Drosophila melanogaster: one gene and its partners. The gene in region 1 interacts genetically with each later gene. Each region holds a gene or a part of one and is shown in the gene's direction. Other genes may lie near its edges. The genes, in order: kn, spas, ab and Imp.

Region 1 (7,402 bases):
TTGTAACTTGTTTTGTCTTTTGTGATGGTTAAAGGGTTTTTAAAAGGCAACATCTTTAATTATTTTCTTTCGATTCTTTAACTCTACTGACTACATTGTGCATATTCGTATTGATCCCCTTGAACCGAAACCCTGGTACGCCCCTGGTTCATTCGAAACATCCATCACTTTTTGCTGCGAAGTGAAAGAGGATGAAGGATATAGGATGCAGATGCAGGTTACAGGATGGAACTTTTAAGATATGGTATGTGGGATGCAATCATCTAGAGTGGGCAAAACAAAAAAAGAACACTTCAGATGCGGAAACCGCAATGAATACACTGCGACATCTGCAAGGGGCGTGGCAGTGCGCCCAATTGGAAGCAATTAATCCCACAAACCAAATGGCAAGCGAAAAAAGCAAAGTTCTTTGCGAGCTCTTATTTCTGAGTTCATAACAAATATCCTGTTAAGAAGGCACCGTGTCAGTTAATTTACTGTAATTTATTAAAGTTTACACTCGAAAAAAAACCTATGTTCTATTTGGATGAGTAAGTGGATTCGGTCTTCTTGATATTGAGAACGCCGTTGGAATCGGTGGCACCCTGGATGTTGGTCACCTTCTGGTTGCCACTGGCATCGACAACGGCCACGGTCTGCTGGATTTGGGTGGCGGGAATGGGTCCAACTCCGGAGATGTGCTGATAGCTACCGGTGCTTCCTACTCCGCTGTTGCTGCTGATGGAGGCTGCGCTGGTGTAGCCATTGTAGGTGGGATAATAGTTGTCGCCTCCAGTTAAGGAGCTCTCGCCGAAACGCTCATCAAAGGACACACCACTGGAAATTAAAACGATCATTAGTGATCATCAATAGAAGTCCTCATTTTCCAGTTAACTCACCCAAGCACTGGAGCAGCGGCCTGCTGGGTGTAAGAGGAGCCAGAATGACCGGAGCCATCGGCATTCTGAACGCTGTGTGAGGCGTAGGTGAAGACGTTTCCTCCACTGGAGGACGAGGAGGATGATGACGAGGAAGACGAACTGGACTGACGACGCAGACGCCTCAGGAGATGGGCATTCACGGGATGGACATTCGACTGGTGGCCCTCCGAGTCCAAGGTGAAGAAGGCACGGGGCAGAAACTGGCCAGCTGTATGAATAAAGAGCAATGAATTCAGCGATAAGTATCTGAAATCTATGAATATAGCTTTAAAGCTTAGATTTCGTTCACATCTCGCCCTTATTTACCACGATTAAATATTTTATGAACTTTTACTATTGAATTTATTTTTAATATTATGAAAACCTTTGAATAATTACATATACTTAGCATATATACCATGCAGATTTATTCCAAGTTTTTTATGATAATGCTAATCCCAAAAGTATGCTTATAAATCTCAAACATTCAACAATGGCAATTTCTTTTTTGAGTGTGAAAGTTTGTCCACTCAGCGATCGCGTGAATAATCAAACGTAATGCTGATTTTGAATAGCCATATTTTAGGAATCGTAATAAAAAGCGAATTTGTTGTGCGGAAAGTTTTGCTGGACAAACATTGTCGCAAAGTTAATGAGCTACGCGAATTTCACAAACCAGTTTGGGTTTCCGGATGGGTTCGATAGGTTTTTGGGTATTATTAACATACTAGCACCCGTCGACCGACTTGTTAATTCAATTAATAATAAACACGATAGCAGCTCCGACTAGCGATGATGTAAGTGCACAATCCGGCTTAAGCTCTCCTCAAATTATACTCAAATTTGCTTTTTTGCTCACCGGAAGAGGCCGAAGCGGTAGTAATCGCAAACAAAGCGATGGCAATCACAGCGTACTTCATTGTGAAGCGGTATGGATCTGTAAGAACACACACTTCGTCACTTAGTAGGGTTAATTCAGCGGTTAGGGGTATGCAGAGGGGCCTATCTGCGGTTAAGCACTCACAAAGACGAAACGAAAGACTGAGGCAGCGAACGCGTGAAAAGTTCCAAAACGACTAAGCTCGCGGTGCGGCTCCCTAGCGCTTATATATGGAAATTTCGAATGCTGACGCAGTGCGAACCATCTACATCATTATCATCTAAAGCTGGAAGAACAAGCAGAAGCCGTCAAACAGGCAGAAGAGTTGGGCAAATAACTCCACCGGTAGGTAGACTGAACAATAAACAAATACAGAAAAAAAAACAAGAGGCAGGCATTTAAAGTTTCTTAAAACCTCTGGCTGTGGCTCATAAACGTAAAGTTAGGCTCAATGATTCATAAGGTTAAATACTATCACATCTCTCAGTTAATTTCCCCTCTCTGCAGCAGAGTTTATCTCACATATAAATCCACCCAAAAAGTTAATGATTATGGGAAATAAACACATGACGAAGCAGCGAAGCGCCAACGGGGAATTTCTGTTCTGTTTGTTTTCACTTTATTTGTATTTCGCATTATATATTCGAACGCCAAACTGTTTTGGCCAGCTCGTGTAAATTGGCCAAGTGCCCTCGCTTTTTCTTATTGTACTTTTTTTGTACCCAGTCTGCGCCTTGAGCTCTGCTTTTGACCCGATTCGTGTTTTTGGCAATAAAGAACTTCTCGAACTTCTTCTCTTGGGCTTGGGGCAATAACCTGATTACAACGTGGCCAACACCTAACAAACGGAGTTTCAGAGAAATATTATGCATTATACATACATTGCCGATCATAAAGCTAAACTATATATACTCATTTGTTTAATGGCTGGCATGCGTCCACTAATTATAATATTTTGTGAATTTTAATAATATTATGCCTCGCTCGGTTTTACCGCTCCATCTGTTTGAAACAAAACTGGTTTTGATGGGATTTTCGATTGATCTTGCTCGACGAAATGAAAACAAATTTTGTTATTTAATTTTACATTATCATATATGTATATTCCAGGAAATCCTTTCAATTAACCGGTTATTTGGGGATTATTGTTTTTAATTGCCTAAAATAAATCTAAGGCTTTGATCAATCAAGAAATAATTGAAGACAAGTTGTGCAACACAAATTATATTGCATATACACATTTTGCACGTTTTGCTGATAGAAGTAGGGTATTTCTAACAAGTACAATTAAATAGACATATGTACTTTTTTCAGTAAAATATTACCAATTTTTCACGCACTACTTAAGCCAATCTACCACCTTAATTCCGTTTTTTTTCTTTTGAACACATGAAAAAATTCAATTCCTTAGATTTATATTAATCTAATTGAAATCCACAAATTTGTTGCCATTTGTTGTGCAGAAGTATTTTTGAATTTCGCACACGTTCGTTGGCAAAAATATGTACAAATATTGAATACGAAAAAGTCAAGGAAAAATTCCATTCTTTTTCTCGCAAAAATGGTGACAGAGCAAAATGCTGACCGCCGCCTACTAGGAAAAATAATCCCCAGCCGATTTGAACGATTTATTATTTGGCCCAGCCAACTCGGAGCCTGTCCCGGAATACCCGGAACCATTAATCATCCGAGTCCAGATCCAAGTCCGAGTCCGAGTGGTGGACAGGCGGCATTGCAATTGGTGGACATTTTGGAGTGGAAGAAACTTTTGCGGTACGTGGCAACGTGTTGAAATTACAAAATGTGTTAAAAAATGAAAGAGCAGGGCGGGTAAAAAGCAAAATAATATATTTCATTCACACACAGACTTTTGTCTCTGCTCCGCCGTCCATATAAAAAACATAAATTTCCTTTGAGAATAGAACTTCTGGGATGGAGAGGGGGGGGGGGGGGTGCAAGGTGATTATGTTTGACAGCCGACTTGGGACACGAAGCACCGCCCCCTTTTTCATCGCCAAACAGGACATGGGTATTAGATCCTGGCCAAAGTGCCAAAACTGGCCTCACTTTCCGTCTGATTTACGGCCAACTATTTTGTTTAAATTTTTACCACTTCCCTGCTATCGACACTCAACTTAAAACATATAAAACCAACTATTTAAAGAGCAAATAAAGTTCAATTTGATTTTCTTTGGCCTTCGTTAATAATTTTCCTGCATCTCTCTGGGGATCAGCGAAAAATATGAATTATTGAAACAGCTGAAGGAAATAATATAACCAAATCGGAAGGCCAAATCTGTTTAATGTTTCAGATATGTTGGTGTGGGTTGACCAAATGACAATATGCTTTTTAGCTTCAACCTCCCTCAAGCGAAATTGATTTTCATGGTTTTTCTGTTTTTTCGCCTAAAAATACACAAAAGAGTCGAAAAAATTTGACTGTGATTGTCACTTGAATGTGTGGGTTGGGAAAACCACTCCAAATCCACTTCACCAAATATGTCAGTATGGAATCACGAACCTCGCTTGATTTCTCCAGTGATTTTTCGCAATCAGCCTGATGAGGATGTGCCGAGAACGTTGCTCATGGAGGCAGTGCTATGATTAGTATCCTTTCAGCCAGGTCAAAAGTGACGCTGCCGCATGCCAAGTGGCCTCGGCCAAATGAAACTTTAATGCGAAACAAGGACAAAAGGCTGAAAGAAGGCTGCCTGATGAACTACGTGATGGTCAGACAAATTGAAGTTACACTGGAAAATAATTAGCTAATTTCCTAGTTTGCTTAGGTTAAGGGATTAAGTAAGAATGTGTTTAAAGGACTCTTTTATAGGTAACTTGTTACTCTAAAGAAAACTTATCCACAGAATAGATGTGCTATTTTATCGCAGTGTATGTGGATAGTCAACGACAAAGTGAAATGCATTGAGGTTGGTGGCGAACAAACGCGACCTGAATCGCGAATTGGAATAGCCAGCCTACTCCGCCCCCTCAGGATATATAGCTACTTCGACTAGCATATGCGCCAGATAGTATAGCTGGCGTATCAATTTCGATAATGTACTTGGACCGCGAGTATCTTTATTATCCTGACTGCTGTGCAATTATTTCCGACTGCTTTACTGTCGTACCGCTTTTCCGAGTCCTGGGAAACGCAAACAAAGGATATTTCGCGCACACGCCTCGGACATGATTGCATCCGGGCAGGAAGCATTGCGTCGTGTCCTTTTTGCATCCTTACATCGTCGCTTCCTTCCTGCCGATCAGAACCCCTGGCTGCTTTTCATCCGCAATTTTCACGCCCACTTTGTTTGATGATGACAAATCTCGTTGCGTGTTATCAGATTGGCCAACTTTCCGTTGCTATTCCCCCTCGTATTGCATAATTATGTTTATCTTTGGAAGCTGCGCTCCTGCCACGTGTCCTTGCGTTTTGGTTAGCTTCCTGCGATTTTGCTCGGAACGAGTGGCACGTGCTAATCGGCGGTCGTCTGCACCGCCCATGCAACCAGCCACCCCCCCTGGTAAGTGCAACCCCGCCTAACATGTCCGATAATTGAAATCGCTAAGCTGAACAACGGAATCGAAATGGCTTCATTAATCAGGTCACTTCGATGGCAGCGCATAATGTTCTTCAAAAATTTGAATTGGGGGCGGTTGAAAAGAGGAAATTGGTCTATATAGCACTTAGCGCGATTGAATTTGCTCATTTTGTGTTACCTAATTGGGGAAAAGATGTTTCGGTTATTAATCATGAGTGATACTTACTATTGTATTACAAAAATGGTGCATATATCAGAAGATATATATTATTAATAGATCTTAAGGAGCATTTGTATCCATTCACCAAAATATGGTAAAAATAAAGCTTAAATTAAATTTGCTCATTTACCTTTAAGGACATCCTTTGCTTAATGAGTGCACTCATGCCCACACCCACTCGCAACCGAATGAGTGTCGCCCTGCGGACGCATAAATTATAAATAAAAGCCTCACACACGTGGAGAAAGAGAGGTGTATATAACCTTAGAGAGAGAGAGAGAGGGAGAGCTACAGTCTGAGGCCAAGAAGTGTGCTAAATATTTAAGTACTTAAAACCATAAACCTGAGTATTTATAAATTGGCTTTAACAAGCTCGTATGTGACGGTGGTTGGGTGTGTGTCTGTGGGCTGACCCTTTTTTCGGGCACAAGGATCTGCTCGACTCGATTCCATTCATTAGAAATGCTCACTAATGTGCCCGACTTAATAATAATCAAATTTATATGCATGGTTATGTCCTTTAGAGCAGGACCACAAAACTGAAGTTTCGAGTGGATTGCGAATGGGATTGGCTGTTAAGTTTACGGAGAAACCTTTGAGAATGAGACGAAGATAATATGTCAATATCCTTGTTTTCCAAAATGTCTGACCAAAAGTGCAGATGTCCAGTATCGAAACACGCCCAAGACCGGTACCGTTATTCTGCTACCAGTTTTCTTGTTTGTTTTTGTTTGTTAGCCAGCTTGTTTGTGGCCGACACTGAGACCAAAAAGGCCAAAAAGGTCGCCCCCTCGGGATTTCCTTAGTCCTGCTGCCAGCTTCTTCCTTCCACATTCTTTTTGGGGGTCCGATGAGATTTGAAAATTTCACAAAAATTAATTAGGAATGCTGGCATCCATGTTGTGATAGGCTAGTTCTTTTCTAGCCTAGCAACATTTTTGATGTGACTAAAGAGAATCATCTTTATGGCCACACCCGGAATACTCATTCTTCAAACAACAAGCGACAATAAAAACAAATTACAATTGCAACAATGGCAGCGGCAGCAAAACATTTGAGACATTTTCCCCACACACACACACAGACACACACATACTTCAGTTAAATGAACATTTGCAGGACCTAGATATTTATTTATTACAGGGGTTGCACTGCAGGAGCATTAACCCCTTACTGCCCACGGCAGTCTCGAGCAACGGAGGACTGAAAAAATTGAAATAAATTACCAAAACTAAAGGCAACAACTGTTCGCATAATGAAGTCAAATTATATTTGTGCCTAAGTGCACTGAGAGAAATTTAATATAACCTATGATTTACACGATCGATTTTCGATCTTTGCAACATTTTTTGAGTGAAACTAGGAAACCCTTTACAAGCGAGATCTTGCAGTTCTTTAGTTTCTAAGCATTATTCTAGTATTTTAAAATATATTTTCCTTTGTTCTGGTCTTAATTTATTATAACTAATGAATATTTTCCGTCTGTGTATTCGGAAAAGGGGGAGTTGGAACATATAAAGATGGGGTGCAGAAAAGATGATCAGGGAAGGTGTGAGTGGTTCAAACTAGCTGGGCGTTTGGATAGCGAAGGGTGCGTCCTTTGCTGGTCCTTCGAATTATGCAAATCGTCTGCACTTCAGATACTACTACCCCTACAAAAAAAAAAAACGAAGAGAAAACCCCCTACAAACAAACGTATTAGTGTCATCGAGCATTTGCCAAGCCATTTCATTGACACGTAGAACACCTTTTTCGTCCACTTCGTATGATGTTATCATTTAATTCTTGGGGAATTAACACGGACATTGTCAACCGTAAATGAGCTAATTAATCTAGTAAATGTGTCGCAGCTCATTCCACAATT
Region 2 (9,146 bases), on another chromosome or scaffold:
CCAAAGCGCCGTAACACCGCCCAGGTTGTCTCGTTCCTTCCCCGCTGAATGAAAAGGCAGTGTAAGAAGAGGAAGCCCTTCAGGGTGACCGCATCGTTGTATATGCCATCGGGCACATTTTTCTGTATCACGGCCTTCACCTCATCAAGGATTTGCGGCTGGAGTGGTGTGTTGAAACAGCGTCGCTGGAATAAATTCAGCTCGTAATCGTTCAACAGATTGTCCCCGTCAATGTCGCAGATCTTGAAAATGCGCACCAGCGACTTCTTGCAGGCGGATGTGAGCTGAAAATGCGAAGTTTTATTAGAAGAGTACAAGCTGATTACCTATCGCAAAACCGCCAATTACGGCGCAATGATATAGTTGCGACCTATGATCCACTCCGGAAGCACTTACCTCCTGTTCTTCCATCATATACAGGGGAGAAGTCGGGTGCAGCACAGCCTTCTGGGCGTAGTAAAACATCTCGGAGATGTTGTGCAGCGACTTGGCAGAGCACTCCACGCAACTCTCAATCTCGGGGTAGTCTTCCATGATGGCCAGCACGCTGTCCATGGTGGAATACTCGATGAGGTCTATTTTGTTACCCACCAGAACGATTGGCTTCCGAATGGGCTCTCGTTGTGTGTCTCCTTCCGCCTCCGCTTCGGCATCACCCTCGCCGTCCAGGGAGGGATTGCACTTGGCCCGGACGAGCGGCAGCCAATGGGATGTGATCCGATCCAAAGTGTCGTCATCGTCCACGGCGTACACTATGCACACCACGTGCGCCTTGTTAATTTCGGCGGCCAGGGCATCCTCCGACTGCTCCACGGCCGAGAAGTCAACTATGCTGGTGGGCACCTGCTCGGGCGTCACGTTCGCCGGAATGGTAATCTCCTCAGCCCTAGGCGGAACCTCCTCCGGGTACTCCTCACTGACCAGAGACAGAATCAACGACGTCTTACCCACCCCGGCGTCGCCGACGAGCAGGATCCTAACATTCTTGCGCTGCGACGCCGTGTACTGTCCCATTCCGACTGCTCTCCAAGTGAGATATGCCGCTCCTGTGCTCGTGCTCTGCTGGTCAGAGATCGCTGGCGTTTAGGCCGAAATTCTAGGATTTTGTTATGCAAAAACGCAAAAAAAAACAACCCAGAGTGATGGGGATGGCAGTAGGTGTATCAAGGTCGATATATCGCAACCCAGCTACCAGGGCTGCCACACTAGGCGACCGCCAAATAATGCGATATTTTTCCCCAATTTTCCGGCAATTGTGTTTGAATTCTACGAATTTAACAAATCAAAACTATTATTTCGATCAGTTGCTTAAAATTGATCACGTAATTTAAATATTTCCATCCAAAAACATCGGATCCGAAACTGTCTGGTAACTTTATTGACAGCTGGATCTCTACGATATGACAAGTTAGCGTTTTTCCGCTAAATCAGCCAACCGTTAAGGATGTTGTAAAGGACACAAAATGTTTTCTGTTAAAAATATTCGTATAAACAAAAAGGAAATGATAAACAAGGCAATAAATCAAACTTACCTTCAATTACGAATGTCTCCATACTGCACTTCGGTGAAAGTCTCCCAAATTATATTTCATCCGTTACATTCCACCATTTAAACTTTGAAATTGCCTGTTTGTCTGACTTCACAACCTTGCCCGCTAGATTTGGTAATCGATAGTTGGTCAGCACTGGCTGGGACTCCAGAGCTTAGCTTCAATTTTCAACGTAGTGAGAGTTGTAAGTGCGGAAGAAAATCAGTACTCTCGGATATCAGCAAAATGAGCACTAGCTCAAACGACGTACAACAATAATATTCGAGATTTGTTTGTTTTTTTGTGCGGCATCGATACAAACGCGTGCCACGGCCAACCGATTTGGCTTACAAGGATAATTTCCCCGTGCAACTTTCACGGGGTTAGGGCAAGGAGAGCAGGGGGCCGGAGTGCTGGACGCGCAGACAGCGCGGAATCGATATCGATGGTACGCACTAAAAACCAGTCGTCCTCCTCCAGCGCCAGCAGCAGCAGCACCAAGTCACCAATAAAGTCCAGCAGCGGGGCAGGATCATCCGGCGGAGGACTCGGTGGTCGCCAGTCCACTCACCGCTCGTCGAGCGCCTCAAACGTTGCTGCCGTTGTTGCCGGCGGTTCATCTGCCGCCGGTGGAGGCTCCTCATCGAATCGCCGTAGTCCGGGCAGCTCACCCGACGGCGACGACGACACCACCACCACAGATGACCTGACCCCCACAACGTGCTCCCCACGCAGCGGCCACCACCATTCGTACGGCGGCTACTCGTCCTCTGTGCACAAACAGAACCTCTACGTCGTCTCGTTCCCCATAATCTTTCTTTTCAACGTTCTGCGCTCGCTGATTTATCAGCTGTTTTGTATTTTTCGCTACCTATACGGTGCGAGCACAAAGGTGATATACCGCCCGCACCGACGCGACTGTAATATTGAAATCGTGGTGCAGAATTCCTCCAAGGAGCAACAGCAGTCGTTGAACCATCCTTCGGAGCTGAACCGTGAAGGTGACGGACAGGAACAGCAGTTATCCAATCAGCCACAGCGTTTCAGGCCCATTCAACCGTTGGAGATGGCCGCCAATCGTCCGGGAGGAGGGTATTCACCTGGTCCCGGCGATCCATTGCTGGCCAAGCAGAAGCATCACCATCGACGCGCCTTCGAGTACATCTCCAAGGCGCTCAAAATTGATGAGGAGAACGAAGGTGAGTTTCGGCGACGGGGGTGGCAGCTCCAGTTCGAGTTCGAGTGCTCGAATGCTCAATGAGTCATCGCCCGCTGTCCGCTTTTGTTGTCTGTCGAGTGTGAGAATCAATAAGGCAAAACGCGCGCACAATGGATGCCCCAAATGTCAACAGGAGTAGGGTTGTCTGCCTTGATGGACTTTTATGGAGTGGAAGTTCTCCAAGCATGCGATTTTTAAATTCTAATGCATATAAGCGTACTCTTTGTCAAATTATTTATAAGAGGAAAGCGAGCTTGATTGAACATAATAGTTATAAAATAAACATAAAATAATATTATTCTATATATTCAGGTCACAAAGAGCTGGCAATTGAGCTCTACCGAAAAGGTATCAAGGAGCTAGAGGATGGCATAGCTGTCGATTGCTGGAGTGGACGTGGTGATGTGTGGGATCGGGCTCAGCGCCTGCACGACAAGATGCAGACAAACCTTTCGATGGCGCGGGATCGTCTCCATTTTCTAGGTAAGTGACCAGTCATATTTCCTATACCCCTAAAACATAGGATTTGTTTACCTCATTTTTTTTTTATTTCATTTTGCACGTTTTCCCCTGCTTTTTTGTTGTCCCCTCCGTTTTGTCCATATGCACATGTTCATCCGGTGCGCAGCTCTGCGTGAGCAGGATTTGCAAATGCAGCGCCTCTCCTTAAAGGAGAAGCAGAAAGAAGAGGCTCAAAGCAAGCCGCAGAAGACCAGGGAGCCCATGCTGGCAGGAATGACCAACGAACCAATGAAACTAAGGGTGCGCAGCAGTGGCTATGGGCCCAAGGCCACCACCAGTGCCCAACCCACTGGTAAGTTCCTCACCAGCTAACGCGCACCCAACAAGATCCTCACACGCCAGCGCAAAGCCACCATAAGCAGATCGATTAGTCAATCCCTATCACCTCACTTGGCACTTGATTTTCTTAGAATTTTTTATTTCGATTGGCCAAATTGTAAACTTGTAAAAGAGTATATTCTTCCGCATTATCCATCTCTGATTGTGCTAATTCGTTCACAGCATCTGGCCGCAAACTGACAATTGGATCCAAACGACCCGTCAACTTGGCCGTGGCCAACAAATCACAAACGCTGCCCCGCAACCTTGGCTCCAAAACATCTGTAGGCGCAGTCCAAAGGCAACCAGCCAAGACAGCTGCAACGCCTCCCGCCGTTCGGCGACAATTTGTGAGTATCTGATAAGTAAACTAAATTTGTTTTTACACATTTGGCAAATACTCAGAAATTAAAATACTAATTAAACTAAATTACTCATATTACAGTCTTCGGGGCGTAATACGCCGCCCCAGCGTTCGCGGACTCCCATAAACAACAACGGACCCAGTGGCAGTGGCGCCAGCACTCCGGTGGTTAGTGTGAAGGGAGTGGAACAGAAGCTGGTGCAACTTATACTCGACGAGATCGTCGAGGGTGGGGCCAAAGTGGAGTGGACTGACATTGCCGGTCAGGATGTGGCCAAGCAGGCTCTACAGGAAATGGTCATTCTACCCTCCGTCCGACCGGAACTCTTTACGGGTGAGTTGGTTATTCTGCGACTAGAACCGTCACCATAACCAATCTTCTTCCTTTTTAGGGCTTCGTGCACCGGCTAAGGGTTTATTGCTGTTTGGTCCTCCCGGAAATGGCAAGACACTGCTGGCCCGCGCCGTGGCTACTGAGTGTAGTGCCACCTTCCTGAACATTTCGGCTGCCTCGCTGACCAGCAAGTACGTGGGGGATGGCGAGAAACTGGTGAGGGCTCTCTTCGCCGTGGCCCGTCACATGCAGCCCTCCATTATTTTCATCGACGAGGTGGACTCGTTGCTTTCAGAGCGAAGCAGCAGCGAGCATGAAGCATCGCGTCGCCTAAAGACCGAGTTTCTAGTGGAGTTCGATGGGCTGCCTGGAAATCCAGACGGAGACAGGATCGTGGTGCTGGCCGCCACCAATCGACCGCAGGAATTGGACGAGGCAGCCCTGCGTCGGTTCACAAAGCGCGTTTACGTCTCACTGCCCGACGAGCAAACCCGCGAGCTGCTCCTCAATCGACTGCTCCAGAAGCAAGGCAGTCCGTTGGATACCGAGGCGTTGCGTCGCCTTGCAAAGATAACAGACGGATACTCGGGCTCCGACTTAACGGCACTGGCCAAGGACGCCGCATTGGAGCCCATTCGAGAGTTGAATGTGGAGCAAGTGAAGTGTCTGGACATCAGTGCAATGCGTGCAATCACAGAGCAGGACTTTCACAGTTCGCTCAAGCGCATCAGGCGCTCGGTGGCGCCGCAAAGCCTCAACTCATATGAGAAGTGGTCGCAAGATTATGGCGACATCACCATCTAGTCTGTTCTAGCCAATGATCCTGCCCTCCTTCATCAATCCAATTTGGAGAAGCTGTGATGTGAGTCTCAGAGCGCAACCCATTGTCGTTACACTAGTTTTGATTATGTGACCCATGTTTTTCGCCCTTAAGGTTCTATTCAATCCGTAGACTTTTCGTTTCACAAACATTGTTACATTTGTATTTACCTGTGAGTTATTTAATATGATTTGTTTCCCAGCTATTTCTGGTGTTTTAGCCTAAGAACATTGTATTGTATTTTTTCGTTGTTTAACCACCATGTCCATGTGGTGCAACATTTGCCATGCAGCTCCATTATCGTTATACTCATACTCATGGTATATATTTCTAAGATCTGTACTTTTCATTGGAGTTCTTAGAATAGTAGGTTTGCCCTATCTTCGTTTATGATAGTAATTCAAGGCCACATTGCTTTATAAATTAGTTTTTTGAAACATTCCGTAGTGATTTTTTGTAAGACAGGCGGCCCAAGGAGTTCACAACTACTTCCATTGTATCCTTGAACTATAAAGCATATTTTTGTTGTACATTGAGTGCCCATCCACAAGCTACATGTAATCTAGAAGTAAGCGTAGACCTAAGACCGATGATATACTTATACACACCCACAAAGATACATTTACCAGCGCAGAATCGTATTTAAGTTTTAATAGTTATCACTGTCCGTATGGTTAGTCTAGTTTAGTTCCTTTGTTTCAATCTATGTACCTACAGCCATAAATACAATCGTCTCCGATTCACCTATATTATTAGTAACACACCCAAAAATGTTGTACCTAGCAGGTGCGTATGGATCTGGTGTTATCAGATCGATCAGATACATCTTCACCCGCGCACATGCCCGTCGCTTATCGCGACACATTGAACCAGCTTCAACGCAGCTCGCCCACCCGGAATTTGAGTTCTTTGACTAGTTACTAAACACAGATACAAAAAAAAACTACATGCATATAAAACTATATATATAAAGAAATCTATAGAATACGCTAAATAAAATCGATTTCAAGAAACATCAATTGCATTCTTAATCATCAACAAAATTCTAAGCTATTGGAAACCATTGGTAGTGTATTGAGAATTGAGCAACGGCTGACATCACCAGGTGCATTTAAATTAAGAGAAAGTAAGCAGAAGAATTAAGCATTCATGAAAACTAGTTTCGCAGAAAAACTGCGTCTCACTAGAGAATATTAAAGCTATAAAATTCATTCATGTATGTATGTTATACCTTAAGAAAACTTTTTAGCACAATTGTAAAAGTTAATTACTTTTTAACTATATTTTAGACTCCGCTGAATCCTCCACCAGATTTGTAGTAGTAGTAACCACTTCTATCATCAATGATATAAATTAAAGTTTGAAATAATAATTCCACATCCTAATTCATTACCTCAATATAAAAACCAGCGTCCCTTCGTTTTCTCACTTGTTTTATATATTTTTTTGCTTCTTTATTTTACATTTTACATATTTATATCGCATTTCGTTTTCCACATTGGAAATATACAATATGTATGCTCGAATTTACATTCTCTTAGTGACTAAATTTGTTTTTCCTCTTGTTTTTGCATTCGGCTTGCTTGCTTGCGGCTATCCTTTCATCCCACTGAAACTACCCTCTTTCCGTCTTCAGTTTTCGTTGACACATGTTCCACATAGTTACAATTACAATTTGCTTTGTCACGTTTTTGTTTCGATTGTTTTCTTTTTGTTTTAACTCTGTCGCGCGTAATTAGCATTTTCTCTTTTCAGTTTTTATTTGTTTGTTTTTGTTGAATTTCTCATTCGGTTTATTTTATTTCCGTTTCGTTTATACGCCTATATCTGCTTAAATTAGAAATCATTAAATTAATTTAACACGTACTTAGATTGGATTAGATTGTTACAGCTACCCGCCCATCGCCCGGAGCTTTTCAATTGATGTTCTTTCAGTTGTCGCCGGCGTGGATCACTTGAAGTTGAGCTCCACGCACCGCCTTAACGTTCGACTTTGGGGGGCTATATACCACACCCGATTCCGCTTCCTTCCACCGCAGTCAGCCGCAACCGTAGCCACAACTTCAAAGTGGACACTCGCGCATCCTTAATAATCTCCAGATACATTGCCACCGTCAATGTGGCTGCTGCCGCTGGTCAACGGCATGGCCAGGAGCGGCTCCGACTTTGCTACTACTCGGTATTGTACGTAACCTAAACGTGCGTAATGCGCTTGCAACTGCTGCAGGTGCGGAAGCTGATGCAGCAGAGGTGGTTGTGGCTGCGGCTGGGGGCGACTTCCCGGATGCTGCAAACGGCGTCGAAGCTGGCGTCACATCTCAGCTCATTGGGTCTGGTATTGTGGCATCGCAGCACTGTACATCATTTGGGGGGCAAGTGATCCGTTCGCTGCAGCGGCCGCGGATGCTGCGGCAGCCGTCACACCGGGCACCACAGTTCCGGGCACGCCCCATGCTACATTCGGCGGCACCATGCGGTATCCAGCCGCTGAAAATTGTATGCAAGCTGTTTAAGCCAAGGTCACGATTATTCAGCAACTGAGAAAAGTAAACTTACGGACTCCTCCCGCTTGCTGAGCACTGGTAGGGTAGGCGTAGGGATAGTAGCCCTGCTGCATGTATTGCGTCTGCATCTGGGTTGTGGGATAAGTCTGCAGAAAAGCACAAAGTTAGGGTCAATCTTTAGGTCACTGCGTATTTAAAGAATACAACACTTACCGCAGGTGGATACCAGTAGCCCATCTGCTGGTACGCGTATGGATACTGCGCCGCAATCTGCTGGGGTGTCATCATTTGGCCGGGTATCGCCGCTCCTGTTGCGGCGGCGATCTGTTGCTGCGTCATCATCTGACCGGGCATACCCGCTCCAGCGGCAACCGCAGCATTGGCTGCCGCAACGGCGGCAACATTGGCAGAGGCTGCTGCCGCGGCAGCGGCGGCATTGAGGTTATTGGCCGAGTTATCGCCTCCGTTCTCTTTGCCCCAGAAGCACTTTACCAGGTTTCCATGTACCTCGCTGTTGTGCGTGTGCTCGATGGCGTGGGCGGCTGCCTCCTTGGTAACAAACTTGATGAACGAGAAGCCCTTGTCCTTGAAGACCCGCACGTCCTGGATGGGACCAAACTGGACGAAGTGCTTGTGCATCAGGTCGTCACTGATGACATTCGGCGGGAATCCGCCACAGTATACGGTGGTGTTGGTGGGGCTCGACTGGTTATACACTTCCTCGAAGGTGTGGCGTTGACTTCCCTTTACACCGGACCCATTGCCCGGTCCGCCACCCATTCCGCCTCCCTGGCCTCCGCCCTTGGAAGGCTCGCGTGGTGGTGGCAGCTTGCGCGTGGACCAGTTGGTGCGTATCGAGCGCGAGCCAATCCACTGGCCGTTCATCGCCTGGATGGCGTTCTCTGCCTCCGCCTTTTTCACAAACGACACGAAGGCGTAACCCTTTGACTTCATGGTGTGAGGGTCGCGCACAATGCGACAGTTGGAGATCTCTCCGAATGGGGCGAAAGCCTCGCGCAGTGTTTCTGTCTCAATCTCGGGACTGAGGTCGCCCACGAATATGTGGTGGTGCGAACTGATGTCTGTCTTCGGCTGATTGCCGGGACTGGTGGCCCAGTTGACCTGCGAAGAGCATTCGTTTAATAGGTAATAATCAATTAAGTTCTACATAATTAAAATAACATGAGGGCTTGGTCGTGGGGAATGTGTGTGTTGCAAGAGTGTAGTTTCGAACAAAATGAATGAAAATGACCGCTGTCCACTTGATAACTTAAGAGAAGCTAATCAGCTTACCTTGATTTCCTTTTCGAGGAATAGGCGTTTATTCATGGCGGTCAGAGCTGTTGTGGCTGCCTGGTAGTTGGAATATTCGATGAAGGCATATGGATCGTTGCCCGGTTCCCGAATGATTTTGCAGCTTTTGACGGGCCCCATGGTGCTGAAGAGGGCAATTAGCAGGTCCTCGGACACTGAGCTATCCAGGTTGCCCACGTATAGGGTCTTCGGTTGCGACTCGTCCATGGCTGTCGGATGTCA
Region 3 (7,027 bases), on another chromosome or scaffold:
AGAATGTGAGCAATGGACCAACACAGCTTTTATATACATGCACCACTAAAATAATATCAAAATCACACAAATGTCATAAACAGAATCCATTAAAAGCAACCTGAAAATACTGATTCTTTTTATTAAAAATAAACTTGAACCACCCACGAATTCAACTGTTGTTGTTCTTATTAGTTTCATTTTTTCCAAGCAATTTTTGTTCGACCATTGAAATGCGTACGAGATTATTTAGACAGATCGTGGCATTAAAATATATGTACATGCTTATATTTATATATATACATATATGAGCACAGACATATATTAAGCGCATACATCCGAATATTTTAATTAGAGTATAGATAAAAAATAACAACAACAAAGGAAAAAGAGACGAGCAGAGAAGAAGTGAACGAGCGGGGGGCTGTCAGGGGCGGAGGCAGCAACAAATATTAACAATAATTATACCCAAAATATAAAGACGCGGCGACACCTATTCCATATAAATTTTAGGTTTCCACAATTTTTTCACTCACTCTCGATAAAAATAACATTCCACACGTACACACACAACTAGATGGGATGCGGTGGGGCGGTGAAGAAACAGATTTGGGAAGTGAATTTTGGACAGTACCTACACACCACCACCACCCATTCTTGCCCCTGGAAGAGTGGAGGGGGGGGGGGGTGCTTGTGGGTAAAAATAAATACAAATGTCGCCGGCATCAATAAGATATAAATTAAAAGCGTACTACAATCCCAATGTTAATTAGAGAAGCACGAGAAGCGAAGAGAATGCAGCGGAGGTGGGGCCAAACATAAAACTAAGGTGGAGCGAAGTGAAGCGAAGAATGAGAAATTCAGCCCCGCTACACTGAGATAAAGTAGTGGAAATCTTTTAATTATGAAATACATTTTGATATCCTAAAAGGCAAGAATTGTTAGCTATATATAACAATTAACAAGATATATTATGAGTAGTTAACACAGAATTGCAGAAGAATTCTTAAACATTGAAAAATTTTCTAGATTCTTTCTTATAGTGCAAGATTATATACCCATTGAGTTTGGGTATGGAACTTTCCTCCGCCCAACCAATTTCATACCTCGCTCCAATGGAAGCGCTTGACGTGCTGTCGTGTATCTATTAGATACATTAGCTGCCGCATGCCACCAACTTGCGCTCCCTTTTTGGGAAGCTGTAGCTGCATCTACAGATCGTTGCATCCGAAACTCTGTGCATTTGTGGATCGTTGGGATGTTTGGTGGTGCGGCGACAATTTCGGTGTTCTGCCATTTGGAGTGTTTTTACACGTAAATTTATTTTGTTTTTGTCGACTTTAATAAAGTTGCATCTGCCGAGGGGTGGCACCTCATAGCTTTAGCGTCTGCCGAAGTGGGAGACAAACTTTATTTATTCCAGCCTCAGGCAGCTTAATGACTTCCTGCAGGGGCGGCTACTGCGAGAAATCGGAGGAGGGCAAGATTAAGGTGCGGTTCCAGTTCTCCACGGAACTGTCTTCCTTTTTTTGAATTATTATTCTACCATAAAGCTCCGCATATCTAAGGAAAGTATGGTTAGGGAAAATACATCATATTAAGTATATTCATGTATCTTTAGCCTTATTGTTAAATTACACTATTATTGGACAAATATCTGTGTACATTCATTCGTTTAGACATCCGTTTAGAAAATTTAGTAATTTGCACATTTGAACGTTTTTCCTTAGCTGCGTCATTTTAATTACAATTTCAAATAAGGTCAAATGATTTATTGAAATCCGTCTCACAACTACAGTGCATTCCAATGACTAAAGTTATGCTTGTGTCTTAGTTTGTTTTCTTATTTGGTCCACATTTTTGTAAGTAAAGTTAAAGTAAATTAAAGTATATTTTAATTCAAAAATTAGGGTTAGTTCATTTTTATATTTATTTTTGTACTTAAACTTACATTTTACATTTCCTTTTCAGACTGAGAAATAACTTAATTCGATGAAATGCTACTTTATTTATGGAAACTATAATTTATCAGAGAGCGCACATTTTATCGCACTTAACACCCAATGAATCAAAAACTCGGGCTGCTCTCTTCTACCGAAAACTTTTGGCCAAGAAAGCGCTGGCAATTCTGCAATTCAATTGGTCGGCCGTCCGTCTTTCTTTCTTCTCGGGCTCTCTGCAGTCTTCACCTTGCCACTTTGCCCGGTTGGAAAAGTAAACACAATCTGATTGTATGGCTTAGATAATAGCCCCCTTGTGCGCCAGTGTGTGTGTGTGTGTGTGTGTCTGTGAGTGTGTTGGCCAGTTGGAGGAGGATGGGGCTAAAAAAAAACGAGTGAGAAACCACCGACGCGCTGCATGCAACATGTTCGCCGTCGAACGTCAAACGACGAGCATCGAACGTCGAACTTCGAACATCGAACGTGGAGCCGACGAAGAGTGCGTCGGATTTTACTTACCGCTTACGAAAACAGGAATTCTTATTACGCGCAGTACAATTTCAGAAATCAGACGGGCAGCAAGTGTCGTGGTTCAAGTGCGGCTAATTTGGCTTATATGTGATTTTCAGTGTTTTGATGGCTTAGTAAACTATCAGAAACACAGAGACAACTGAATTTGAACTTCTCAACTAAATAAATACAAACCATAACATAACTAAAGAAAACAAAGAACTGTAATATAAAATAAAAATAAATTAAAAACGAAAAACTATTAAAATGCATATAAACCCGAATTGGAACGAATAAACTTGGTGCTGTTAACTGTTTTCGAAATAAATCCAAGAAACTTCCGTTCCTAGTGCGAAACTATAAACAACAAGAACTGCAGCGGCGACGCGTCGGCAAATTGGCATAAATAAATAAAATCAGCGACGTTTTTTTCTGCTGCCGCTGTTCTTTTTTTACAACCCGATTTTTATGAATGAATGCAGCTAACAGGCAGAAAAAAAACCGCAACAAAAGAGCGAGATAGCGCGAGTCGCGTGCACAGGAGCGAAATCGTTGAAGAAAACGGGGGAAGTGGGGGCGGTTGTAAAAAAGCGGACAGGTTGTACCGTTCGATTGCCGCCCACCGCCCGTTTGTCGCCCACTTTTTGTTGTTATTATTTTTCGGTTTGCTTTTCCGCTTTTCCTCCTAGGCGACACACGCTCATGCTTGTCACTTTGTTGCTTTTGCTTTTCGCCTGTCAGCGGCTGTCACAAATCCGCAAACAAACACACAAACACTCACACACACACACACACGCAGCAATTGTTGTCGTTGCAAAATTAATAACGGAAGTTGTGCATTTTATTAATAAAAACGAAATTCACACAGAACCAGATTCACAATCGCAATCAGAATCAGAGAAAATAAAACCAGAACACGAAACTCGCTGCGAAAAAGAGCGCACGAAACAAAAAACAAAAACAACAAAAATCGCAAGTGCAGCGCGACGGCTTCTTCGTCTTCTTCTTATTCTTGTGGCGTTTTTCTTCTACTTCGTTTCGTTTGTTTTCCGCTTCTCGGAAAACCCAGGAAAATGCTCTCTGATTTGCCAGCGATTCTCATTCATTTTGTTCTTATTGTGATTGCAGTTGTGCAGTGTTGAAAAATCAAACTAAATTCAAAATCGGCTTTAAAGAAAACAAATTCATAAAGGGAAATACCCAAAGAAAATAACCCTCAGTGTTTCAAAAGTGTTCAAATTTTACAATTGTGGCATCACAACAACAAATTCAGCAATCATCGTGAATTTTCAAAAAGAAGATTAAGAAATCAACAGTGCAAACGGTAAGTTTTAAAACTGATTCTTGGAAATGTATGTACGAATCTGCTTGGATGGCAACTTTTTAACAGGGAATTTGATCGTTGAAGTCTTTGGGGTTAGTTCCAATGTTTGTTTTCTGACAGTATATGAATTTTAAGTTATTGATTTACTTAAATTTAATGTAACTAATATTCTGGAAACGAAACCAAACGAGAATCAAATCGTTTAAGCTGTTTAACTAGATCACATTAAAATCGTAGTAAAATAGAACTTTCTCGCTTCCCTAGACTTTTATAACTTTATATGTCATGATTTTGTTTTACATAAATTGAATTAGGTTAACAAATGTTTTATGACCGCGATCTTTGTTTGCGATCTCTCTCAGTGATCGTAAACCGAAGTTAATGGCTTACAAAATCGGGCTCACAAAAGGCGTCAGCATTTGGAATTGTCTTTAAACTAGTTGGCCAAAATGTGTGAATCTAAGAAAATTATGTATTTTTTGGTGTTACACGCTTTCTTGATTGGTCTGCTGCTCTTGAAGACAGACCCGAATAGTTGGTGTCCTCTTGCGATTTGATAAATGAATCTTGCAACTTAGGGAAAACGTTTTCGGGGGAATTTTCGTGTGCAGTAATTGCCAACTTTTTTGGAGGCAGTAGTGCTGTGGCACCCATAGGTAGGTAGTGTTGTGTGTTATGGCCAATAATGGTAATAGCAGCTAATGAACCTGACTCTCGACTGAATTTTTGGATTTAGTCTCGGAGTCGGGGGTCTGCGATACCCAACACCAAACACCATCGCGTAAGTGTAGATTCCTCGCCTGGGCGAGTGTTGTTTTTATTTTTCACCGGCCCGTTGAAAACAAACACAAATACGTAGATGTGGAAACCCGGGGATGCTGGGAAACAAAAGGGTCAAGGGGGCGAACAATTAACGCGTCGCTGTAATTACAGCAAATGGTTAAAAAAAAGGGGTTTGGGAACAACTAACCAGAAAAAAGACACAAAGAGAGGGAAAAATAGAAAATATTAATAATCAATAGCCCGCTAAAAGGCATCGATGGAGTCGGTCGAGTTGGTCGCGATGGTTGAGGCAATTTTATCGGTCATTGAACGGCCAAAAGAAGCCAATACCAGAAAGAGATTTTTTTACAAGCCGAAAACGCAAATCGTCGGACTTGGAAATTATGCCAAAAACTTCGACTTTAGACGCGGCAAGAAGCGATCGGTTTTTGGTTAATTACCCGGCCAAATCTCCGTTAACCTCCGGCGAAGAAACTTCGATGGCCTTTTCTGGGGGGCTGAGCAGTTAATTACATAAAAACAAGTGATTTGCGTGTGCGCTGCTGCTTTTGCTGCTGCCCACCGGCATCGATTCTCCAGCTCCGTTTCTTAGATTTTTTTTGTGTTGGGTAATTTTCAACTCGCCAACTTTCGGCCCGGCTAATTAGCGGAGAAAATCTGCGGCACAGGCCGAAAACCCATTTTTAGGTTGAACACTTGCGAGTGTTTGGTAAATGTCCAAGAACAGGTGACCTTTGACTTTAGTTTGAGGGCCTAAAGCATGATTAGGTAAGCAGGAATCAATTTAGAATTCAAAAAAGTCATTACATATTCAAATACTCGCATAAAGAACCTCCTATTAGTTGCTTACAAATTTTTCTTATTCCATAATTACTATTTTAAAACTTAACGCATAGCTTAACAAATTTGCTCACAGAGTTTGAGAGCTTATTTCATTACTTCAGTTCTGTAATTATATTCTGTGCAATAACCTTTTGCTCTTAGCTTAGATTGTATGAAAAAGTGCAGAATATAAGTACATTTTGGCCGTCATCTTCTCTCTAAAATTCTGCTTTATTTCATTATGTCTCAAATCATTCTTCAGCCTCGGTTCTCACTTTTTTCCTGCCCAGTTTTCGAATGACCTTTGGTTGGCGCCGTCTTCTCCGCATCCTTTTGCCCCACACTCCATATAATTTATCATAAAAAATAAAAGTTTTTTGGCTTTTTACGAACCTTTTCATGGGGTTTCTGCCCCCCTGCGGTCAGATGAAAAAAAAGTGGAAGGAAGCTGGACAATCGGCGCCGTGACTGCGTTCTAGATAAATAAGCATTCTTAATTATCCCTTTGCCTCCTTCTCTGGGGTGGCAAAAATGTTATAAACAATGGAAACCGCGCACTTAATGCGTTTTCTGTTTTCCAGAAGAAGGAAAAAAAAAACGAACGCGGCTGCGGCAAGTATTTTTCTTCATATTATTCATTATTTTGTGGCCAAAAAAGAAAATGTTTTTATTGCCTGCGAAAAAGGGTATAAAATGCTCAGTCGCCATTAGCCAAGGACCCGCAACCAAAACGACAACAATTCCAATCAAATGTAAAGGAGCAGGGCATAAAAAAAGGAGATTTCCAAGTGGCCCAAATGCCGAGATACTCAATGATGGGTGGAGATTTGGGTGTGAGAGGTCCAAAAAGAAATGCCGTCGGTAGATGAGATTTGGATTTCTGGCCCATGACAGGCCAGTGACTTTTCACTTTTTCGCATGTGAGCAAATGTGTAATTGAAGTTCCGCTCGAGAATAAAGAAGTGAAGCGGGCCAAGAAACAAAGGAATGTGGAGAAAGGACTCTAAGGACCTGGCCAAGCCATTCGATTCCAACGTTCGCCTTTCTCACTCGCCGACGGCGGCGCCTTGGCCCAAAGTATCGCGATTGCCGCATGAGTTGGCACAAAATCACAAAAATCAGTAAATCGCTCACAAAGTGCACGAAAAGTGCAGCGAAAATGAAAATGATGTGGCACTTTCTCAATGCTACCTGCCATGTAAATCATCAAACAAAAAGATCCTTCGAAAATATTATTGCAGGAGCATGGGACTTAAGCGGAATATACATATGTACATAGCTGCATCGCATCGATTTGGAGAAATATTCTCATCAAAATATTTGCACTTCTTCTTCGAGAACTCCTAACGACACCAATTGAGAACGTAAGCCAACGTAAACATTCGAAGTTTGAAGCTGCTGTCACAGTGGACAGTCGCTAAAGTGTACGAACTGGCTGTCCTTTTAATTAACTATGAAAAAAAGGTAAAAGATACAGTTACAGTTATTAAGTTCGATACTCTAGGATTTTGGTTAGTTTTAAATAATTTGAATCGCAACTAGATATGAAATATTCTATTTTTTTTTTTTTTTTTTTTTTTTTTTTAATTTTTATTATTTATTGAATCTTCCCTTTGTGTTAAGAGACTAACAATAAGTGTTCAAATCTTAATCTAACTTAATTAACTTT
Region 4 (7,227 bases), on another chromosome or scaffold:
CCAGCCACCTTCCACTGGCGTTCGTCCTTGTCCCACGACGGGACAATGTGTGGAGAGGGGTGGAAGGGGGGGGGGGGGGGTGATGCCAGAATAGAGAGACACACAAGGGTTGCAATCTAATGAAATAATAATAATAAAAAAGTAAATAAAGCAAGGGGCGAAGTCAACGGAACGCAGCCAAATTCGATCCTCGACGTGTGGCGTGGGTGCAACAGAGATGGCAAGAGTGGCAAGCGCGTAACGGGACACCACCACCCAAAAGCTGGAAGACAGCGGACTGGAACGTTCTCTCCCCCAACCCCTTCCATGCCAAACCATTCCCGTGCCAACGCACTCGCGAAAATAATTGAATGTAATTTTAAATGATGTTTGTGATTATATTACAAATGAAAATTGGGTTTCTTAGAAACATTCGAAAAGTATTAAAAAAGAGAATGATGATCTGCTTGTTTAGCCCCATCTCAAAATCGCTTCATTTCCTGCTTAGAAGGTATCTAATAGTCGCGACACTCGACCATTTTCATTTACTGTGCACTAAATACCATAGAATCCAAGCCAATGCGATCCCAACCATCCCAAATCGAAATGGAAAATCGCAGCATGGCAACGCACAGGACGCACACACAAAAATGCGTCGCAGTTGCCGCTGGGGGTGGGTGGTGGCTCTTCCTTTCCCATTTCCATTCCCTTTCCCTGCGCCTTTCCCTTTACCATTAGCGTTAAACCCTCCCAGCTCGTATCCTCGTCCCTTTTTTTTGGACTAGGCTAGGGCTAGAGCCCAGACTGAGAGTTCAGAACTCACAGCCAGCCGGCTGTAAACATTCCTGACAGACGCAGGAACGCAGCAACGCATCGCAACCACACAGCGCACATTCAGCAACAGCGATGGTGGTGGTGGCAAGCAAATTATGAGATTTTCAGGGGTTCAACAGCCTCCTAGAAATGTACGGGACAACTAAAGTATTCCATCAATGCATTGAAAGAATTCTTCAAGTCTGCCATCAGAGCTATATCTATACAATGGTACTACAAAATAGATCCCTAAGTATATGCTAATATAGATAGTCAGAGGTAGAAAGATGTATATCCTTGAAAGATCTATCTAAATGATTGTTGTATCTTAACAAATATGGCTTGAAGTTAAAGAACTTAACAGTTCGTTCGCCTTACTTCTGCACTCCGTAATCTTCTAGTTTAAGCTTAAAGTTGCAGCTCAGCATTGAGATCTTGGATGGAAAGTGCATGGGCATGGGCCTGGAACCACTGCCATTGTGCACCCATGTCCAGGGGCGTAGGGCCACATCCTCGACCTTGTCCTTGTCCCGTATTTTGGGGTTGAAAAACTACGCAAGTTTCGCTCGAAATTCGAAAACGGGACGCAATCGCTTAGTGTGTGCGTGCGATATGGTATGGGTGTAGACTCTCTGTGTGTGTGTGTGTGTGTGTGTGTGGGCTGAGTTGGGTTGGTAACAGTCGGATATATATGTACATACTTATATATATTTTATGTTTGTTGCTGCTCTGGGGTGCGCATCAGATTTAGCTGAACGAAGGAAGGAAGCATCGACAAAAAAGAGGAACGGGAAAATGTAGGAGAGCAGGAAGTAGAAATTTCGTTGGCAGCAAGGTCAGCGAGAGAGGGAGATGGCAGGAGTGAGGGAAACAGAGATGGAGAAGGCACAGTCTTAGATCGAAACACGATTGTGAGCTGCAGACTTTTCCAAGTCCCCGGAATCGCTATTCGCAGCTCACTTCCCTCGTGTTAACCTCATTGCGTCCAATCTAGTTGGAAAATCCCGTTGAGGTATCAAGTACTGTTTATAGAAATGTATCTTTCATAACACTATCATAACAATTGAATACTACACTCTCTAACTCGTCGTTCGAAAACAAACTTATGATTATAAAGGCCATAGTAACAAAGAAGCCGCAACGCAAGTCGTAAAATGCATTGCATACTTTCTGGAGTCGAAAAGTGCCACAATTAATATATGCAATCTAAACAATGGGATTGGGAAAAGAAAATAATTTATATAATTCTATTATAAGCCAAAATAATAGCTTTATTGATATCTATGCATAATCGCAATTTACAAATGCCAATAACTTGGCTCACAAGTGGCAATCGTGAGTGGAATCGAATTCACAATTTCCCCGAAAGACATTTTCCGTTCTCTTGTTTTCCTCATGTCTTAAAATTATAGTCTTGCCTTTTGTCAAGCAGCTGTGGCAGTTTGAATTTTCCTGACATTTTCACGAGCCAGTAGACAAAACAGACGGGGCGATAAAAGGGCGCAAAGGAGAGCGAAGAGGAGCGGAGAAGAGAGAAAAGTGGAGAGAAGAGCGATGAGCGAAGAGAGAGCGGGAAAAACGCTGGCGTCTCTGCTCGGGCCACCCTTGTTTTCAGAGTTTTTCCCCGAGTTTTCCGCTTGGTACTATGAGTTTTCGCTTTTCACATTTCACACTCACCCCCGTCGCAGCTGCGTCGACGTCAACGTCAGCGTCAGCGTCGACAGCGCTGCCAACAGCTAGCCGGTCCAAGCCAATCAGATGGAAAATATTCGTTTATCCGTTGCGTTTTTCGATGTTTTTCCTTTTTGGGTCGGGAAAACCTTTTGCATAGGGCGACCAGCAGTGCAAAGTACAGGTCCAACAGCTGGCACAGTGATCACCAGATGAAATAGAACAGATCAACAGAAATCATCGATCATTAAATCGGAATAGAAATGAAATTAGAAGTTAGCTATATAAATATGTAACGTATCTAAGCAAGGCCTAAAATGTATGTTAAATATATTTTGATTACCTATAGTAACTTAATAATACATTTGGCAATGTATACTGGCATAAATTAATAGTTAGCTTATTCGATTTCTTAACCTTAGATCATTTATAGTGGTCGCCGACTTTTTAGAGTGAGTGTGGTGTAAGCCGGCTGCTGCCCTTTAAAGCGGATAATGTGTATAGACGCTTGCACACAGATACAGATACGAGTACAGACACAGATACAGATACAAATATGCCAAGGAGCAGGGTCAGCCATTTTGGTTTACAACTTTCACTGTTTTGGATGGGTGGGAAAATGCGACGCCAACGCCAACGCCGCTGCTACAGCGCCGCGGCAGAGGTCCTGAGAGCAGAGCAGAGCTGAACAGAGTTTTCCTCGCATTTTCATCGGGCGCTGAGCAGACACCTTGGAAATTGGGATCCGTATATCCGGCAGGCAGGCAGTTCACTCGTCGCCGTTGCGTCAGTTCGTTCGACTCTCGACTCTCAGCTCACAGTTCGCAGTTAAATAGTTAATAGTCAATAGCTCACGCCGAACAGCTATCGAGATATTAGTGTTTTGGATTCAGATTCAGATTCAGATTCAGATACGGATACGGATTCAAACGGCGCCGCCATTTGTGATTTTTGTTGTTTTTTCTTGTATGAGCAAAAAGTGACAAAGCACAAAAAAAAAGAAAAAAAAAGATAAAAACCAGTGAAAAGCCAAAGGAAAAGCGCAAAGAAAAGTGAAAAATCATCATAAAATAACAAACAAAAATTCGACGAGAATTCTTGAGGTTTACCAAATACACCAAAGTGTAAGTGTAAGAAAGAGAAAGGAGATACCAACCAAGCCATAGAGAGAGAAGGTGAGGGAGAGAGAGAGTAAGGGAGTGGGAATAGGAGGGAGTGTTTTTCCAGCCTTGCTTTGTACGCACTCACTCACGCATCTGCTGCCGTCTCGCTCGCACCCACACAATCCAACGCCCACCCACGGCAACCCACACACAGAGTTGTCACCTACACAAAAATCAATAACGAAACCCAATAAAATAAAATCCACAACGACAGCGAAAACAAGCCCAAAAAGAAAATGTTACTTCCTGTCTAAATCAATCAATGGAAAAATCAATTGCGAACTCATTAAGGATGCTAGATTTTGATTCCAAGTAATTCTTATGGCATTTGAAAACTAGCTATAGATTGCATAAAAACTAGATTTCTTAGGGATTAACTATAATTTTCTTTTAATGCTTTAGGCTATGGACGGTAATAGGTTATGTAGAAAGTATTGTAGTATTGCAAATATAACCCATTATTGAATATCCCAAATCACACACACCATTGGCTTTGCTGTCAATCGCAAATGTCTAAAAGCCCCATACAAATTTCACTTTTCCCACTATTCAGTTTCAAATTTTTTCTCGCTCAATATAAAAAAAAAATCAAAAATTTACCCAAAATCAAAAATATACACTCACACAGTCCATAACAAGACAAGACACCGGAAAACAACAGGCAACACACCCATATTAAAGCCAAAAAAAAAGGAATCTAAGAAAGGCCAAAGGAAAGGCGAAAGACCAGACAATTTTGTTTAAACTACGTACTAGGTAGAGATATTTATAATCTGGAGAATTCCGATCAATTGGAATATTGTAGCCCAGAGAATATCGATCCTCTCGAGAAAAATTCACCGACCTCACTTTCCAATTCTAAAGCCTGAAATCTTGATGTTGAACCCACACAATTGGCAACTTAATTGAATCAAGAGCCTGCAAAGGACTGAGATCTCTGGAGCAAGAATCAGGCACCTTTATCTCAAGCAATTTCAACAGACATCCTATCCAAATCTCGAGAATAAGCAGTGCACTTGCGTCCCATTGAAAGTGTAAGTATCCTTTTCTGTCAGGATATTGAAACGGGTCCTCGAAAAATGTTACCTTGCTATAGTTCCGTAACGAACTCAATATATTGATTATATTGATATTGATAAGAGGATAGAATGAGGATATTATTCCTATACTATTCCTATTTAAGATCTCTTCTCTACAATAGTCGAGATTCTTCTAAGCAACCAAGATCAATTAAAAACCAATAACTTAGCTAGCACTCCGCCACAGTTCCTGTGTCTGTGTCTTTCATTCATATATCCGATGATAAATTCCCAAGTTTTCTTTATGCCAACTCCATTGCAACATTGTACAAAGTACAGGGAATGCTCCACAAGTGCGATTATAAATTGTTCAGAATGTAAGCGGCAATGATTGCGGAGGCTTCTCTGTAGTTGAACGCCGAGGTTGCGTGTTTGGCGTCTATTTTAAATGTCGACAGCGCAAGATGCGCGTGGCATGAATGAAGCGTCTGTCCCGCCTTTCAGACCAACAACCACCGCCCCCCCGCCCCCCCAACGCTTTTTGTTGGCCCCCTGCTCGTCTTCTTCTTCTTCTCTTCCTCATTCTAATCTGGCTCGTCTGCTTCTAAATTTAATACATTCTCAAGTGAGGCGAAATTCATGGAAGATGCGAATAAAATCGGATCAATTTTAAAGTTCAACAGCCGCTGAAAAAGAGAGAGTGATATATGTATATCCAAAGAAATTGGGAATTGCAGCGATAGAGATAGCAATATGTCGGTGGGGCCAGAATTAGAAGCAGACTGACAAAGAAATAGGTGCCAGTTTGGTCAAATTCCTTAGCGTTTCGCAATTGGGAGAGGGTGGTTCATATCGTTTAGATGCCAAGTTGTAAAAGGCGCAATGGTTCGTAGCTTAAGGATATTCTTAAGGATATACCAAACATGTTTCCTAAGTCCCCATACACTTAATTTTGCCTATTACATCGCTTAAATTCTACATTCTTTTGATAGTAAAACTCTCGTTTTAATCGCGAGTTAACCCTTATTGCTTTTGTAAGTTCTAATGCTTCGGTTTGAATAGATTTCATTCCTTACAAAGCTGCCTTTTATCTTAAGATACCAACCACCCCCAGTATTAAATAAAAAAAAAGGGTGCTCACTTCAGTCTTATGTAAGGGCTACATGCATCTTACTTTTGGGGATGTTAGTCCACCACTAGCAGCGTAAGTTGGAAAGTTGGAGTATTCTCAGATAGCCATCAATCTGCACTCGCACTCAGTATCCGTCGATCGTCTATCTCGTTCTATTTGAGGCAACTGTACCTCGTTAGCGCGCTCCTTTGACGCGGTTTGTCCTTGAGGCAGCTCTCTAAGAAAGCTTAGGTAGGCAGACGGGCAGCTTTCGCAGCTGTTGCCTGCTCCTCGCTGCCTGGCTGCCGCTCATCCGTCTGCTCCTCCCTTGGGCACTCCTTATCTAGTCCTTAAAAGGTGTCCTGTAGCCAAACGAGCTCCTCGAACCCCATCCCCCTTCGCACGGCATTCCTCATTCGATTGTTTTATGTCCTGTTCGTCGGTGGCAGTCGACTGTGTGCGGCAGAGTCAGGATATCGCCGTATAAATATAAATCTATTGTGATATAGTACATAGTCATATGGTTTGCCATTGATTAAAGTTTTCTTTTCATTTTCACCAATCATTTTCAATTTCAAAGCTATCCACTATGATTAAGAATGATGGTCATCATTAACCTAAGTTAACTTTTCATATAAGTTCTTATCTAAGAGCCACTACTAGTGCTATTCAATGAAACGGAAGCCACAAGGAAATGAAATCACTTTCCCAAGAATCCTGCACGAACCCTTTTTTGCATGCATCCTTCCGGTTCGTGTGCATCTCAATCACATTTGACTGCGTTCGCCATTGCAGTCGGTAGAATTGTAATCAACCACTGAGCCACTGAACCACCGAGCACCACCCGAAAACCCCAAACACCCACCCAGAGGCTAAGTGGACGGACTCAAACGGACGCATTCACATAGCTTTCGACGATTTTATTCGCAGGACTAAGGTTCTTCCTCCCCCCTCCCTCATACTAGCACTCCTTCTCTTTCTCTCTCTCTCTCTCTCTCTGTCTCTTGCACTCATTTAGCATGCATGTGTGGGAAGGGGGGGGGGGGCGGACAGCGTTGGGTTGTGAGAAAGTGGGTGGTTAGGCCTTCTGGCGTTGCATACTTTCGAGGGGTTGCTGTGCTGCACTTTGCTGCGCGCGCGCCATTTTCCATTCGTTCAGCGTAAAATGGAGCAGCAAAAAGTGCAACTGCAACAGGCGTTCGCCATTTGCCGCCGGTTGCAAAAAAAGGGTTATGCAAGGGGGAGGAGGGGGATAGAGGTGGAGGTCAAGCCCGCCCACCACGGGGGTTATAACCTTTGGCAGGATGATGTTGCAACCGCAGGAGTCGCCACCCCTCGAGAGAGCTAGCTTGTTTATGGCCGATGTTGCTGCTGCTGCTGCTGCTGCTGCTGCTGGCGGCGGTGATGGTGGTTGTGTTGTGCTGTGCTGTGAGTTGTGTCGATACCCTTGACGCCGTTGCACTTTTGTTGC

Evidence for each region.
Region 2: of kn (region 1) and spas, changing one suppresses a phenotype caused by changing the other (phenotypic suppression), as found in Drosophila melanogaster (one study listed by BioGRID).
Region 3: of kn (region 1) and ab, changing one suppresses a phenotype caused by changing the other (phenotypic suppression), as found in Drosophila melanogaster (one study listed by BioGRID).
Region 4: of kn (region 1) and Imp, changing one suppresses a phenotype caused by changing the other (phenotypic suppression), as found in Drosophila melanogaster (one study listed by BioGRID).

The regions. Positions count from the first base shown.
Region 1 is NT_033778.4:14,803,000-14,810,401, reverse strand, and holds the start of kn (knot), read left to right. Parts: upstream 1-3,340; coding exon 3,341-3,552; intron 3,553-7,402. Other genes in the region: hui (hase und igel), read right to left, coding at 519-816, 879-1,128, 1,759-1,819. UniProt on the Drosophila melanogaster protein: May act as a 'second-level regulator' of head patterning. Required for establishment of the PS(-1)/PS0 parasegmental border and formation of the intercalary segment.
Region 2 is NT_033777.3:24,036,535-24,045,680, forward strand, and holds spas (spastin), read left to right. Parts: upstream 1-1,680; 5' UTR 1,681-1,974; coding exon 1,975-2,728; intron 2,729-3,060; coding exon 3,061-3,231; intron 3,232-3,376; coding exon 3,377-3,562; intron 3,563-3,771; coding exon 3,772-3,938; intron 3,939-4,033; coding exon 4,034-4,286; intron 4,287-4,344; coding exon 4,345-5,090; 3' UTR 5,091-6,120; downstream 6,121-9,146. Other genes in the region: Miro (mitochondrial Rho), read right to left, coding at 1-284, 397-1,014; Rox8, read right to left, coding at 7,430-7,611, 7,663-7,756, 7,824-8,732, 8,904-9,131. UniProt on the Drosophila melanogaster protein: ATP-dependent microtubule severing protein. Stimulates microtubule minus-end depolymerization and poleward microtubule flux in the mitotic spindle. Regulates microtubule stability in the neuromuscular junction synapse.
Region 3 is NT_033779.5:11,208,211-11,215,237, forward strand, and holds the start of ab (abrupt), read left to right. Parts: upstream 1-2,467; 5' UTR 2,468-2,537; exon of another isoform or gene 2,538-2,563; intron 2,564-3,557; 5' UTR 3,558-3,753; intron 3,754-7,027. UniProt on the Drosophila melanogaster protein: Expression is vital for development; may be involved in transcriptional regulation. In embryos, muscle specific expression is required for segmental nerve b (SNb) motoneuron target recognition within ventral longitudinal muscles.
Region 4 is NC_004354.4:10,818,752-10,825,978, reverse strand, and holds the start of Imp (IGF-II mRNA-binding protein), read left to right. Parts: upstream 1-1,701; 5' UTR 1,702-1,804; intron 1,805-3,192; exon of another isoform or gene 3,193-3,587; intron 3,588-4,161; exon of another isoform or gene 4,162-4,660; intron 4,661-7,227.